Saccharomyces cerevisiae S288C: one gene and its partner. The protein of the gene in region 2 interacts with the protein of the main gene of each other region in a pairwise test. Each region holds a gene or a part of one and is shown on either strand. Other genes may lie near its edges.

Region 1 (4,614 bases), on a different chromosome or scaffold from region 2:
CGGCTGGTTGCTATGGTTTGTCTTCCATGATGTGTACGAAGCTGTGAAAATGAGTACTAAGGAGTCAGTGCACACCAGGGTAATCAATTTCCCTGATATTTTGTCAACTCAACAAATGAGACAGGGTCCATCTCAGATCAGGACACCTCTGGTAATGCTTCTTATGTGAGGTGTCTTGGCCGAAATTTATATATATATATATATGTATCACTAAGCTCCTAATTAGACTGCCATGCGGCAGTCAACGTTACCTTTTTTGAAATGTAGAAAAATTTAGTTATTTTTTAGGATGTTCATAAATATATCTATATATGCCATTTTTAACATTATAAATTACGAACATACGTGAATGAGGTGATATGACTGGTAAAGAAGAAAAAAGGATAATAACAAACCAAACAAGATAACCTGTGCATTCTATTTTATAATTGGTAGCAGTTCTAAAGCAAAAAACTGAAAAAGTGCTTTAGTATGATGAGGCTTTCCTATCATGGAAATGTTGATCCATTAAGACGAACTATAAACGGCGTCAACTTTATCTTTGACAGCATTCAAAATGTCTTTTCTTTTCAATTTCTGAGCGGACGTAACAAAACCGTTTTGTGGAGTCCATTCGCCGTCAAAGAACACTATGCCTGCTAGTAATTCAATGCCAACCAAACCTTGGTCTTTACCTGTCTTCAAAAGATCAGAATAAACAGCTTTAATCAATTTTGCATCCTCCAAATAATTTTCGATATTAATTGAACTGTCTTTTTGTTCCATAATTCCCAACTTTTTAGCAAGCTTCGTTAATGGAGCATGATTTGGTACAATAATACCAACTGGCTTAGTCTTAGATTGGTCGGCATAAACACAAATGTTAGCAACATATTCGTTAGATCTGTAAACGGACTCTAATTTCTCGAGTGCGATATATTCACCGTTCATTGTTTTGACCAAGTTTTTCTTCCTGTCAATTATTTTCAAATGGCCATTTGCTTCCCATTCACCGATGTCACCGGTCTTGAACCAACCATCGCTTGTTAAAGCTTGAGAAGTTTCTTCCTCATTCTTATAATATTCAGGCGTGACATTGGCACCTGTGATCCAAACTTCACCTTGGTTGTTTTTAGCAAAATAACCTAATTCTTCAACATCAACTAGTTTGACGGTAACACAACCTGTTAGGTCACCAGCGACGCCGAGTTCAAAATTAGCAGGATCCAAGATGGTGGTACTAGCGCATGTCTCGGTTAAACCGTAACCAATAAGCATAGGGCAGATTAAATTTGTGATGAATTCCTGAGCATCCCGACTGATTGGAGAACCACCGTTTAACAAATATCTTAATTGGCCACCTGTGGCAGTTCTGATTTTTTTGAAAACCAAGTTTCCTAAGGCGCCGCCACCAGGGATGTGGAGACGTTGCATGTTCAACTTGGTATTATACGCGGTCCAGAAGATTTTCTTGGTGAGGAAGGGCAAATTATCAATTTGGTTTAAGATCCCTTTTCTCACTGTTTCCCAAACAGCGGCGACACCAACCATGATTGTGGGCTTGAATTCTTGCAAATCACCTTGACAATTTCTCACAGAGCTGCTAGTTAAAGTTTTTACGGTGGCATAACCAATGCAGGCCCCCCAATAAAAGGACAATAGTTCGAAAACCAATTCAAAAATATGAGCTAGTGGCAAAAAACAGATAACACGGTCGGTATTGCCCACAAACTTCAAAACATTCAAACTTGCACCACCAACACCTGCGACAACATTTGAATGTTTCAAGACAACACCCTTTGGCTCACCTGTAGAACCAGACGTATACATGATGCAACAAAGATCATCCTTGCCAGGTGGATGAACATCGATTTCGTTACAGGATTCTTTACCTAGCTTCAAGATGTCGTCAAAGCTAAAGGTCTTGATATCAGGTCTAACTTCTTTAATTCTGTTGATGGCATCATGAGCAGATTGATAGATCTTACCACTTTGCCTCCTGTCCTCAGAACTGATGGAATCGAAATGAATTATGTATTTTACGTCTTGAGCGGCTTGCACTGGTTTGATCAAGGATGGTAATAAAGAGTTATCGGTAAAAATGGCCTTAGACCCCGTTTGCACCAAAGAATGAATTAGCCCTTTCTCTCCCAAAGTATCGTAGGCAGTGACGACAGGAATACCTTGAGACTGCGCTCCTAAGAACATCTTCATCCACTTGTGAGAAGTGGCTGCGTAAAGATGTAATTTGTCATCATCATTAGGCTTTAATCCTATTTTCACCAACCCACGACCAATTTCATGCATGATATCGGTCAATTGGTCAAATGAATTATAATGATAATGCGATAGTTCATAATACATCCATTTCTTTTCCACTGAAGTCTCCTTGCCATCAACTTTTTTCATAACCGATTTGGATTCTTCATGAATTTCCTTAACATCCCTCCAACCCATAGCATTTGAATTTTTGTTCTTCTGAAAGCACTCTAGAACAAACTCATAAACAGTGGAACACTTTGTGTTAGGCGGTCTGACGAGCGGCTTCTCGCGGCATTGATAATTTCTTCTTGGAGCAGTTTCATGCTCATTGGCGGCTTTCCCAACTGGAACGGTATATTGAGCAACCATATTGTTGTCTTTTTTTGTCTTTTGTGTTTGTTCTAGTTTTTATTGTATCCTAACGAGTTTTTTAACAACAAGAACTTTCTATACTTACTAAATATACTACAATTGTCTCACGACAAGTGAGGGGTAAAAGGAAAAAAAGAGAGAAAAATAAGCGGTTAAAGCCTTTTACTTAAAGACAGCGAAGGAGATCTCCAAACATTTTTGTTGTAATATCGATAATACGATATCCGCGAAAGGAACCAAAAAAAGCAAAAAAAAAAAAAAAACGCGCGAGAACAGCCTATCTCTGCTGTCCCGTATGCACAGGGAAGTTCTCCTGATATGCGATGGGTGGGTGCCCCTGTGTCATTCGTATTATATGATGTATTCGTGCCTGTATCATGCATAAATATTCACATGGCGGAGATCATGTTCCTGACAGGGCGTGATCGACTTTACTATTGTCCTTGTCATTCCCTTATGGAAGAATATGACAGGGCTGCATCATCCATATTCTAAGTAATTCTCTTTGCCGCGCTAAGCATGGCTTCATCGCTTGTTAGAAGGCGCATTTGTTATAAAGTTCAGCCGGCTCTATCGGTCCGCTAGCTAGGTCTGTTTACTTTCCGCAGCGTAAGCAGCTGGCAAAGTGGATCGGTCTTACATCTACAACGCAGTGACGTTTCTGATACTTTGGTGACGTATTCTTTTCTCACCGCTACGTTTTCTTCGCCCGCTCCGTGCGGACCGAAAAAAGACCCTCTCCCCTTATAAATTTTGTCAGTATTATAGCAATTGCCTGCGGACTTTCACCGCGCTTAGATCAAGAGGGCATCATGAGGCTACCTACAATTGACATACTAAGTCAAGAAAAATAATAGTGTATCGAATACGCGTGGTAGCTACATTAAATACTAAAGTATGGTTTTTTTTTTTAAGTAGGTTTACTCTTCATATTCTTCATTTTCATTTTTCCTTTTCTTCCCGTTCTTCATTTTTATTCCTAGAAAAAAAAATAAATATGTCTATCGTTAACCTAAACATAAACAAAGTTTAGCCCGCTTATTTAAATGATGCCCAGTACTTTTTTTCAAAACTCATATAATTATATATATCAAGAATGCTTTCCAACCACCGCTTGTATTAAGGTGTAGAAAGGTGGTTTTTGTATTCAAAAAGAGTACAAGCCCATTATAGCTAACTTAACAGTCCACCCTACTATATCCCACGCATATCTGGTTTTAACTTGTGGCGGGCGATATGGAACGAATTTTTCAAAGTTAACCATAGAAAAAAGCATGTGATCAAGGCAGAGTGAACGAGGGAAAAAGAAAGTGTGGAGAAGGCCACCTTTTGAAAAGTTTACCAATCGATCGGTCTCTCAGCACTTTCTACATTTAATCTCTTTATAGTGAACATCGCTGGCTCATGCTGGTTCCCATGCATAACTCACCCACGGCCGCCAACGGCCGCTTATCACTTACTGTCGCCAGCTCCGGTCTTAGAAAGGGTAAAAAAAACCGGGTGTATACTATACACTCATACATCCGCTCACCCGTTTCCAGTAGTGAATTTTCATTTTCTGTACGAAGGCAATATAAGCTGACGATCCGCATAAAGCAGAAGACTCATTTGTAATGCAGAATATCCGTACAATAAAGGAATTTATTGGTCTTATATATTCTACGTGGGAGCTCGAAAAGCATTTCTGGTTCTATTTAGTAACCAATTATTTTCACTTTGCTCAGAATAGTTCTGCATAGCTATAGAAAGAAAGTTAACACAAAGTACGGAAAGATTGAGTAAATATGAAACTCGGAAGCAAACAGGTAAAAATTATATCCTTGTTGCTGCTAGACACAGTGTTCTTCGGGATCGAGATAACTACCGGGTACTTGTCTCACTCTTTGGCTCTAATCGCGGACTCATTCCATATGCTAAACGATATAATTTCTCTTGTGGTTGCACTTTGGGCCGTAAATGTTGCCAAAAACAGAAATCCGGATTCAACGTACACTTATGGTT
Region 2 (5,112 bases):
CAATAACGTTTCTACAATAACAATAAGAACTTTAATGAAAACTCATAAAGGTACAGCAAAGAGGTGGAGGCGTACCGGTAATACTTTTAAAAGAGGCATAGCTGGAAGAAAACATGGCAATATAGGCTGGTCCCATAGATCATTAAAAGCCTTAACCGGAAGGAAAATTGCCCATCCAGCTTATTCAAAGCATCTAAAGCGGTTATTACCCTATCATTGAAGGTGGAATAATTATGTTCTCCTCTAAACCAAACGCACCGTTAACCCCAAATCAATTGTTTGAGTATTTGCTTTCGGTCTTCATGTATATAAATAAGTATGAAACAATAACCATAAATTTATACAATCGATAATACCTTAGAGAATTCAAGCGTTGAAGTAATTAAATACTATTTCGTCAGGCGCTTGCAACCATCTCGACATCATAATCCTAACCCCTCAAAATGATTGAAAAACTTGTAAATCTTAACGCTCCTGTGATAGTCTATAAAAAAACTGTTCTTTATGGAAGACTTTGATGTATACATACATACATACATATATAAATGTTTTATCAAATCTGGCCTATTTTTCACTTTGGCTGTTGCCGGTAAATTCCTTTTCAATCCATTTGTGCGTGATGTTGTCCCTCTTCAATTCTGCAGTAGGGAAGTAATGATAATTCGTTTTCAGTGAAATAGCGAAGGGCACATTGTCGAAAGTCATTAACCTCATTTTACAATAACTATTATCAGGGATTGTTTTGACAACTTTCAAAAATGTATCTAGATCAGGTGTTTCAATTTCATTGACATGAGTTATGAAGTTTGTGGCAGATATACCGTACTGGAGCGCCGGTGACGATTCTCCCCTGAATGTACAGTAGACACCCTTTGGAACATCAACCATAGCTTGCAAAACAGCATGATGCGGCTTTTGTAAGATACTACCTGCAAATATTACAAAACGGTCGGTTTCCTGAACTTCCACGGTTTTAATTTTCAAATCAACAATATTACCATCACGAACAACTTTAAAATCTAACATGGCTGATGGCAAAATACCATCAGCTGAGCTTACAACTCCATTCAAATCATTCATTTCAGTGACTAATTTTCCGTTCACAGATAAAATGACGTCACCGGTCTCTAAATGAATCTTGTCTTCTGTATAAGAAACTCTAGAAACAGTGATAAACTGTAGCCTGTTATTTGATTCATGTTCCATACGCATGATCCATTCTTCGGGCACACCTCTAATTCTGGCTTGCAGAACGGAAATTGAACCGAACCCAGCATCAACTATACTTACTCTTGGTTTACCGCCATTTTTTAAGATATCTATAACTTCCCTACAGTCCATTATATCTAATCCCATCAAATAAACCTTTTCTTTATTTTCTAATCTTTCGCCTAAAAATGGAAGCCATAAACCTCTTACTGTACCATCATTATCTGTCAAAATACCGGAATTACATCTGGTGCTAACGTTGCAGTCGATAGATATAGCTTCTAAATTAGTGGCACGGTACCTCGGAATTAAATTACTTGGAATACTTACAGAGGAAATATCGGTGACAGTGGTCTCTGAAGTAACAATTCTATCATTCTGGGTAAAACCTATAAACTGAAGCTTATCACCACGTTTCATTCTGGTGGTAGATAGCTTGGGAGTGATTAGTGGAGCCTTTACTAACTCTGGATCATATTTAACAATAGCGAAGTTGTGAGTTGGATGGAGAAATTCTACTGTGGCTGGAACTACAAGGGAATCTGCAATGGTGACAAAAGTATCAAGACAATCATGTGGAACTACCCTTCTGGACACTAGGACATAACCTTTTTCAGCATCAATGATTAAGCCTGATGTTTTTAAAATATCAGCAGAAAGTGAATCCAATGGAACTGCTGCCATTGTAGCCACTGTACATAACGATGATGACAATTTTGCAACTTTTTCATTATTAACAGGAATAGGAATAATTTTGGCCGAACGAGGTTTCAACGCATCGGCTGGAAGTGGATCAGCAACATTTTTGTAATCCCAAATACCAGTTGTATCGTTCCTTGTGTAAACTCTGAATTCATTGCACCAATGACGGTCAATGTAAATAGAAGTAACAAGTGGAGAATGCTGATCTGTTAGATGGTGGTATCGTACAGTAACGCGCTTACGATCTGGAATAGTTTTCATAATTTCAATAAATGTATCTAAGTCGGGGGTTTCCTTATTGTCTATAGAATCCACAATCCAACCCACTCTTTCTTTTGAATCAAAGTTGAAAGACCCTGATGCACTACTTAAAAATACACCCCTGACAGGTAGCGCATAAAACCTTGCCATTTGATATGATAATTCATGAAAAGTCGCACCACAAACCTCTACATAACGATGAGGGGTGATAGCATGTAAATCACCAACAGTGCAGGTGACAGTACATTCGACACCGCCCCTTTGAATAACCAATTGGATTTCCTTCCCAACATTTTCATCTTGAATTTTATCCACTTGCATGAAAGAAGATATGGTTTCACCGTTTATTGAAATTAGAGTATCACCTTCTTTAATTTTATCATAGCCTGGGCCTTCTCTTAAAACGGTTTCTGCTACCAACAGTCCGATATTTTCGGGAAATTTAGCACGAGCCTCACTTTCTCTCTCTGAAGTTAAACCTAATCTTCTACACTCGTCATAAGGCTTCAGCAGCCATTGAACTTGAATCGTACCACGTGTGATAGGTTTGTTGGTTTGGATGCAAATTAACGCTCTAAGAATTCTATCTAACGGTAAAAAAAAATCAGTAGATGCCTCTGTAGAGCCACCTGCCTGTAAAGCCACAGCATACCCATCTATATTTACGACTGGAGAACCACTTGAACCGCCAGAAGCAGATGCAGCAGCTTGAATATATTCTGTATTGAAGTCATTGTATGTCAGCTCACCATATTCTGGAGCGTTCCTGTCAATTCTACTAATAAAACCTGCTAGGATACTTAATTTCTCACCGGCATCATTACCGACAACTCTAATTTCTGAGCCGACCTTAGCCAAACTTGGTTTTAGCGTTAACGCTTTGATCTTAGAATATTTTATGTTTTTCGGATCGAATTTGAGGAACCCAAAATCATGAACAGGATCTCTGTAAATTGGTATAACATCGCATTCTTCATGATTATCGAAAACTACGTAGCCTACGAACGGACCAGGACCAACGACGTGCCTATTGGTCAGAATTATACCTAATTTAGCATCCACGACAAATCCGGTAGCTTCAGATACCAAAGCAGAATCGCAATCGAATGGCGCAACTTGTGAAAAATGAATGGAAACCACTGATTTAACAACGTTGGAGATGGTATTTTGCCATCTTAGATAATTTTCTGAATCTGTGAGTACAGTGTTATTATTATTAGCAAAGTGCAACGGCTCTATAATGATTTCATGGTCTGTATATTCTTCCTCTTGATCTCCGGTGGCGCTTTCCAACTGTTTCCTTTTTACAAGCGATGATTCACCAGAAGTTCCATCGGAAATTTTAGAATGGTCTCTTTTCTTTATATTGCTCAACGATATGGTCATTAGTAGATCTAAAAAACCTTTACTGTACTCTACGTGTGTATTCAGAGTATAAATATCTTCTAAATAAACTTCCGTATTTAAACCCTCGTAGAACTTTTTTATTTACATATAAATTTTTTGAAAGTTTCATATCATCGCCTTGAGGAAAAAAAAAGAAAAAAAGAAAAATTATCATGTCACACGCTGAGATGGCGTCTAATAATGGTAGTGACAGTAAAATAATATTCAATTAAGAAACTTGTTAAATTTTTCTTGCCTCTTTCTAGTTTATCTATGATACATAGCATTTATTATTAAATATTTCAATCGTGACTCTAGGTTCTTGGATCTTGCTGATGCTGATGCTGATACTGGTGTTGCTGTTGCTGTTGCTGCAAAAGTATTTGATGTAATTCCATTACTTGTTGGAAATTACCATTTCCCTGAGGAGGTGCTTGAGGTGGCGGTTGGATGTACATTGGGTTTTGCATTTGATTCATGGGAGGTACGCCATATGGAAGTGGCGGTTGACTTTGGGTCATTGGCATGAACGACTGCTGTGTTGGCGGCGACATATTGTTGTATGCGGGAGGTAAGCTACCATATGGAACAGTGTTGGAGAATTGGGCCGGTGTCGCCTGCCCAAATGGTGGAGGTGGATACTGGAAGTTAGTCGGCTGAGGGAAAGGTGAGTATGGTGGATAAGGCATACCGTTTGGTTGTTGAGGGAAGGGATAATTATTTGCAGAAAACTGTTGTTGGTGGTGCTGTGTGATTGGCACTGGGGAGGAGCCATTCCGATTAGAGGTAGCACTGGATTCACGCTTGATATTTTCACGTGCGTTTCTTGATTTGTACCCATGTTGCATCGGAGCATTACTGCTCATGCCCAACGGCGGTACCAGTTTAGGTAAACTGTTGGCCTTGGGCTGCCGAGCTCTCTTTACCTTGACATTGTCACTATCGTTGGCTAGTTTGCGGTTGTCCCTTTTCTTTCGTTGCCGTTGCTGTTTCTTCATTTTCTTGAAAAGGGCCTCTTTTTCGTCGTCGGAAAATTCTTGTTCCTCTTCAGGTAATTCTTCATCGTACCCATTAGACGCATCAGTACCTTTGTTGCGCTTTAACTCGAAAGTATCTATCCAGTGGGCATCAGGGGTGACTATAAAGGCTTTCTCACCCAAACGCACTTTTAATTCATCGAATAAGTTTTTTTTTGAATCGGGCAACTTAATTCTATAAAATGGGTTTTGCAAGGGTCCAAACACCTCCGTCAACATCCCGATCAAAGTTCTATCCTCGAGACAGAAAATGGAACCCTCTTTTAAAACACGCTTTTCGCCCGACATCGTGGCGTGAATGATTATATTATTTTCAAATGCAGACTTCAAAACACCAATAGGAGTGATGATCGTTTTTTCTGAAATTTCATAATCTTCCGGTAGTTCAGGAACAGTTTCCTCTAGTATTTCGTTCTTCGATAGTATAGGACCGGAAGGTGAAGGGTCTTCGTCTTCGTCTTCATTTTCAATCGCGTCACCACCTTCGTCCTCTCCTTCAACGTCCTGATCTGCAGAA

Evidence for each region. The genes of interacting proteins can lie anywhere in the genome.
Region 1: the proteins of NMA111 (region 2) and FAA1 interact in a two-hybrid assay, tested with the Saccharomyces cerevisiae proteins (one study listed by BioGRID).

The regions. Positions count from the first base shown.
Region 1 is NC_001147.6:907,339-911,952, reverse strand, and holds FAA1 (long-chain fatty acid-CoA ligase FAA1), read right to left. Parts: upstream 2,611-4,614; coding exon 508-2,610; downstream 1-507. Other genes in the region: YOR316C-A (uncharacterized protein), read left to right, coding at 4,018-4,227; metal cation transporter COT1, read left to right, coding at 4,398-4,614. UniProt on the Saccharomyces cerevisiae protein: Activates long-chain fatty acids (LCFA) by esterification of the fatty acids into metabolically active CoA-thioesters for subsequent degradation or incorporation into phospholipids.
Region 2 is NC_001146.8:393,131-398,242, reverse strand, and holds NMA111 (Nma111p), read right to left. Parts: upstream 3,559-5,112; coding exon 565-3,558; downstream 1-564. Other genes in the region: mitochondrial 54S ribosomal protein bL35m MRP35, read left to right, coding at 1-220; NAF1 (RNA-binding snoRNP assembly protein), read right to left, coding at 3,873-5,112. UniProt on the Saccharomyces cerevisiae protein: Nuclear serine protease which mediates apoptosis through proteolysis of the apoptotic inhibitor BIR1.